Canis lupus familiaris: one gene and its partner. The protein of the gene in region 1 purifies or fractionates together with the protein of each later gene. This does not show direct contact. Links are inferred from orthologs where the notes say so. Each region holds a gene or a part of one and is shown in the gene's direction. Other genes may lie near its edges.

The links.
Region 2: the proteins of RBPJ (region 1) and RITA1 purify together in Homo sapiens (affinity purification with mass spectrometry; 4 studies listed by BioGRID and IntAct, with this or other methods). This does not show direct contact. The link is inferred for Canis lupus familiaris from reciprocal best matches to the Homo sapiens genes RBPJ and RITA1.

What each region holds. Positions count from the first base shown.
Region 1 is NC_049224.1:84,661,746-84,665,402, reverse strand, and holds part of RBPJ (recombining binding protein suppressor of hairless), read left to right. Parts: intron 1-2,362; coding exon 2,363-2,503; intron 2,504-3,528; coding exon 3,529-3,657. UniProt on the Homo sapiens protein: Transcriptional regulator that plays a central role in Notch signaling, a signaling pathway involved in cell-cell communication that regulates a broad spectrum of cell-fate determinations.
Region 2 is NC_049247.1:10,900,988-10,903,919, forward strand, and holds the end of RITA1 (RBPJ-interacting and tubulin-associated protein 1), read left to right. Parts: intron 1-1,286; coding exon 1,287-1,794; 3' UTR 1,795-2,347; downstream 2,348-2,932. UniProt on the Homo sapiens protein: Tubulin-binding protein that acts as a negative regulator of Notch signaling pathway.

The sequences.
Region 1 (3,657 bases):
AGAACTAAAAACTGTAAATGCAAAGAATGTTAACTTAAAAGATTGGGACCCTTTTTTTTTTTTTTTTTTTACTATTGTGGCTTAGTTAAAGAAGAATCTTTGAATATTAAGATTTAAAGTAATAAAAGCCAACAATTTCACATGATATTGATAGTACTGTTCTAAGTACTTCTACATATGTTGATTTAATCCTTATAAAACTGAGTAGTTACTATTAAGGATGTTCATTGTGGAGCAAAGTATTACATCCTGCATTCATACGTGCATCCTGCAAATAGTCCTGACAGTGCCAGACACCAGAAATATATTGGTGAGCAAGACAGGCTCTCTGTCTTCATGGAGCTTACATTTTGTTAGAGAGATGGACAAAAATCAGCTAAAGAAACACCCATATTAAAATATTAAAGGTTAATACAAGTGATAAGAAAATAAAGCTAAAACAGGATAAAGAGAATACAGACTGAGGGGAGTCCTTCGAGTGGTCAGAGAAATCTTTGGAGTGGGGATATTTGCAGAGACCAGGATGAAGTTGGGAACCACAGACTGTGAATAGCATTTCAAACAGCACAAGTGCAAAAAGAACTTGAGATGGGAATGTGAGAGAACTAGTAATGAAGCCATGGTAGCCCGAGCTGGGGAGAGGGATGGAGGGAACAAGTGGCAGGAATTGGGATATTATCTACATATACTAGGAGGCCACCGGAGGGTTTTAAACAGGGCCTGGTGGCTAGTTTATGTTTAGAAGGGTAATTTCAGCTGCTCTGTGAAAGGAGGAAAACATGGGGTATAGCAGTGGGAGCAGAGAGACAGTGGTTGGGCTTCTGTCATAATTCAGGCAGGAGCTGGTGGTGGCATCTTAAACCAGTATTGTAGTGGTAAGGTGATAAGAGGTGACAGATTTATTTGAAAGGAGACTTAACAGAATTTTTTGATAGATTGGATGATTCGGTGTAAGAGAAAACAAGGAGTCGAGGGTGACTTGAGGTTTTTAGATTGAGTGAATGGTGGTGCTGCTTATCGACCTGTGAGTTGGAAGAGGATCATGCAAAGGAGGAATTTTAAAATTTGGTGTTTTGATTAAGACTTTGGTAGCCTATTCAGTATCTTAAGTGGAACTGTTGAGTCTAGCTAAATATATGAGTGCCAGAGAAGAGAGCCTAGGGCTGGAGATAAAACTTTAGGATTTGCCAACCTCCAAGTAGTGCAGAAAGGAAAGAGGATGGAAGAAGGAGAAGGGGTCTGAGGACTTGGCCCTGGGGTACTCTGAAGGCCAGTTAGAGCACGGCTGTCCCCAAAAGGAGGACAGCTGTGTCAGTGCTTCTGAGAAAGCTAGCAAGCTAAGGACAGATGTCTCCTGATACCTACGGATTCATCTCTCCCAAAGTCCTGGGTGGCTCTCCACAAGGGCAATTATAGTGGAGACTTTGAGACAAAAGGCTGAAGTTAACTTCAGGAGATTGGACAGTGAGGATGAGAGTTTGCCATAAGCAAAGAAATGGAGTAGAAAGGGAGGGAGAAGGATGTGTAGTCAAGGAAGGATTTTCTTTACTTTTGATTTTAGATGAGAAATAGTTCTGTAACATGTTTGTGTGCTCTTGAGAGTGATCTTCATAATCATCAAACACTCAGTGATTACCTTCTATGGGTTAAGTGACATCTCAGACTTGATAGGATTCTCTTTCATCTGTGCTTTTTGTGAAATATTTGAATTATAAAATATAATAGAGCTCAGGCTGGGCAGGCAGCCAGCCAGCCCTGGAATCGCACTCTGGTCCTTCAGCTTCCAACCAGGTGATTTTGAGCCCGCTTCCTAAGCCGCAAAATGATACTTAATTTAGATTTTTTAAAACAGATCTATAGATAATGGACTGCATTGACTAGCATACGCATAGTATTCTTTTAGAGTTAGGTTTTCCTTTGATGTCATTGTATATTATTGGAAGAGTCCACTGAACTTGCTACACAGAATATGGTCTATTGGCCAGCAGGATTAATATCAGCTGTCAATTTGTTAGAGATACAGACTGTTAGGCCCCCATGAGATCTGTGGGATTAGAACAGATATGTTCTTAACAAGGATCCCAGAAGATTTGTATGCACATCAGAGTTTGAAAAGCAATGATCCGGAAAACAAGTAGCTGCCTGCCCTATTTTTCAGGTGTTTACAGAAGAAGGTAACCGCTTCCACATTCTACTATGTTTATGATCTGAAAGTGTTTTTTACACTTCACCTCATTGTTTGTGAATGTCTTTGTGAACTGCGATATATTATTATAGCATATTCTTTCTCTGTACTCCTGGCAGTGTACATAATGAAAGCTCTCCATATGTGATGACTTTTTTCTTTATCATTGAAATATAGATAATTAGGAAGGTTGATAAGCAGACCGCATTACTGGATGCAGATGATCCTGTGTCACAACTCCATAAATGTGCATTTTACCTTAAGGATACAGAAAGAATGTACTTGTGCCTTTCTCAAGAAAGAATAATCCAGTTTCAGGTATGTTCTTAAATTATTGGTAAAAATGTGCCATCTCTTTGCTTAACAGCATACAGAAACAGGAAACTCTCATTTAATGTTATTTGTACCCAAATACACAAAGCTGTTCTCCCATATTTATCTCGAGTCCAGTGGTTCTTAACCTACGTGATCCTAAGATATGGCAGTCACCCTAACTTAATGAAGAACTCAAAACTATAACAATGTTTTTGTAGAAATAATTGCAGTTCTGGGAACCGAAAAGTTTTCCTCAGATCATCCAAAAGTAGATTTTGGTTGTTCAATGAATCTCCTGAAACTGTGTGAAGACATCATATATAGATACACGTGTACTTTGGGGGAGGGTTCATAATTACTAGATTTACATTGGGGTCTTCCAAGATCGTAATGATGAGATGTTTCGAAAGCTCATTTTTTACTGTGTTCACTCAGAAGTCTTTCGTGTATGACATGGGTATCCCATTGCATAGGATAATTATACTTTGATGTGAAACTCATTTGTAAACATCTAAAGACCTGTTTCAGAGAGATGACCACATGCAGCCATTCTCCTCAGCCAGAGCTGATGGGCTGGTCTGGGTGTTTTAAGGTAGGGATAGGCGAGTGCCAGTTCACATCTTGGTTCCCTCCTGCTGAAATTGCACGAGTTTCTAACTGCCTCTAAGCATCAGGGGCGCCTGGTTTCTTTCTTAGGGCCCCGTAAAGACTTCTAAATAGCTACTTAAACCACAAATACTGATGTTTTCAGGTACCGGTGTACTCTCAAATGGTCATTGTGAAAGGTGTCATTTTTAATAATGTCACCAAAATATTTCATATTATAATAAAAGCTGCTGAATGTGAGGTTGCTGTATTAAATATTCTGTTTGTGTTTAAGGACTGGCAAAGCACCGTGTTTGGGATGTTCATGAATTTTTACCAAACTCTTCCCCTGTTAAGTCCAGTGTTTGAGTGCTACCTTGTTAGAATTGTCTTACCCTGCAGTGTATGTAATACTGCCTTTCTGAACATTCTTTCTTTGTAAGGCCACTCCATGCCCAAAAGAACCAAATAAAGAGATGATAAATGATGGAGCTTCCTGGACAATCATTAGTACGGATAAGGCGGAGTATACGTTTTATGAGGGGATGGGCCCTGTCCTTGCCCCCGTCACC
Region 2 (2,932 bases), on another chromosome or scaffold:
CAAGTAGAGGGTGTCAAATGAGAAGATGCGTAAGAGAGAGAGATGCTCTTAAGTAAAGCCTTTGGCTCCAGGCAGACATAGGCAACAAGCAGATACGGTTTGAGCAATTAAATCAAATGGCAAAAAGTTGACTTTTCAAAGACTTGCAGTCTTAACACAGAAACACTTTCAGTCATGACTACAAGGCATGGAGCTGATGCCTCCTAGGTGTGCCGTGAATATTTGTGAGATTAATAGACAAAAAATAATTGGTGAGTGAATCTAATTAAAGGTGAGAAGCCTAGAAGTCCCTTATATCTGATATACTGATCCCAGAGCTTGGGCCCTTGAGCCAGGCTGGATTTGAATCTTGTCTTTACCCTCTTTCTTGCTGTGGGGCCTTCCCCTCCCTATGCCTCCTTTTCTCATTTGTAAAATGGAATTATCATATCTCCCTTCTGTGGATGTTTGTGAAAAGTAATGAGATGATGCACGGTGACATGCTGAGTTCTGGGCCTGCATATGAAGAGCCCTCAGTAAATATTCAAAAATGTAAAAAGCTTCTCTGGTGATGAGGCCAGGTCAGCTTTATAATAGGAGTTCAAACTGAGCACCCTCTCTGTGCCAGGCACTGTGCTGTGTTACTTCAAATACAGTGAGACCGGCCACAGGACTGCAGAGGGTTCAGCTGACAAGACCACTAGGGAGAAGGAGAATTGGGGGGTGGGGTATGAAAAAAGTAAAGACTGTAAAGATTAAGGTTATATTAACCCAGACTCTTAGATGCAAGTGGCAGAAAACTTAACCCAAACTGGCTTCAGCAAAAAAAGGATGTTTGGGTCTCTTTTATGAGGGGCTCAAACTATTGTTGGATCCCATCTCCCTCTTAAGGCAGCTTGCCCCCCCCACCCCACTCCACCCTAGCCAGCCACCAGCTGCTTTGCCCTTATATCCTGCTGGATTATCAAGACCAGATGGCAGACAAACCTCTTTCCTGGTAGTTTCAACAAAGGTCTTAAGGCAGGTGCTCCTTGGACAGGATGGGTCATATGGTCATTCTCAAGCCAATCAGTGTGGCCAGGAAGATGGAATATGCAAATTGGCCGGGCCTGGGGCATCTGTTGGGAAAATGGGGAGGTCAGGATGCAGGGGATTGGATTCTTGGCAGGGGAAACCAACAGAGATAGGAGTAGTGGCATACTGGAGGGCTGTGGCCTCACTGTGGGTGCCTGGCAGGGGGTGGGGGCTTCAGGTTTTTAGGGTTTGTTCATTCCACCAGCTCACTGCCTTTCTCCTCCCTTTGCCAGATTGATCAGCCACGTTCCTTCTTACTGTGATGAGTCACTGTTTGGCTCCCGACCGGAGGGCACTAGCTGGGAGGGCCCGTGGATGGCAAAGGGTGATGCTGCTAAACTCCATGCCCTCTTCTGGACACCTCCAGCCACCCCCAGGGGCAGCCACTCATCCCGCTCCCGGGAGACCCCGCTGCGAGCCATTCACCCAGCTGGTCCCTTGAAGGCAGAGCCCAAGGTGGCAGCAGACTCCCGGAAGCTGTCTATGGCTGGGTTGGACTCTCCGCACCCTCTGAGGCGGGAACGTTCCCATTCCCTCACACACCTGAATGCCCCCAGCGCTGGTCGCCAACCCGCCAGCGCCCTCCACACCAATGGGCCTCGGGATTCCCGGCCTTCCCCCTCAGGGGTGACCTTCCAGAGCCCCCGAGTGACTCCTAGGGCCCGCTCCATTCGTGATTCAGTGCCAGCTGCCCCCCAACGGGGTGGGGCCACCCAGAAACCAAAGCCCCCTTGGAAATGAGTTCCTTGGTCCTCCCCTCCTCGAGCTTGCTCATGGGGTCACAGTGCGGAGCACGGTTTCAGAGGAGGGCACTGGTTGAGGGTGCCCCTAGAGAGACCAGAGTCTCCTAGGTAACCATGAAGCATTGGAAAAGCGTTCCTGGGGGCAGACATAGCGGGAGGAGGCAGTGCCTTCCTTAAGCACCGGTTGCTCCCTACCTTATACCCAATGACGGATTCGGCGGCTGCCCCTTGAGATGCCTGTACCAGTCTTGCTCTAGCCACAGGCCGTGCCAACCCAGGGGTGCCCACCAGTCCCCCATCACTCCTGCGACCTTGTCTTGTCACCTGTGTGAATAAATGGTGTGCTTGCCAACCTAGGAGGGTCCCTTCTTCCTTCATGCCAAGCTTCCTGCTCAGGAGGAGTCTCCAGCTGAGTCTGGAGTTTTCCCAGGCACAGTGTATGGCCTGTGGGGAACAGAGGATCTGGGTGACTCATGGGTGGACATTTTTAAAAATTTTAATAATCTTGTATTTATTTCCACATATTAAAAATATATCAGTAGCTCATCAAAGCCATGACTTTGACTAATTTTATTTTCCTTAGGGCAAGGGCCAATATAGGCCTGGGTTGAATTAAATAGCAAAGTTAAAATATATATATATATATATATAATAAGGCAATGGCAGAAATCATGAGTTTGGGAGTTGACAACTGAGGTTTAGCAACATGGGCCTCATACATTTTTCACATTTTCCAGAAAGACGGAGTAACGAGAACTTGGCTAAGTGGCGAAGCCCAGGAAGACCAGAAAGTTAACATGTATTTGGAGAGCACTCAGGACTGAGGTACAAGCAGTCCAGGAGCACCTTGCTCTCCGGCTCTGCTCCTTGTCACCTGCACCTCCTGGGTCAGGTCATGAGAAACAGCAAGCCTTTGCTTGGGTGGAGTTGCACCCCAAATCCCAGGATCCTGCCAGATTTGGGTGGAGGCCAGGCTTTGGCCTCTTTGTGTCCCCATCACACTGCCCCCCTGCCCTGATGCACTTTCAGGAAGCACTGGGATTAAGAGCCCAGTTGGTAGCCGTATCTTTGGTTCTGTACCTCCACCTCTGGGAGGGGAAGAGCAGACACGTGGGGAACTGGTCTGGGAGGGACCA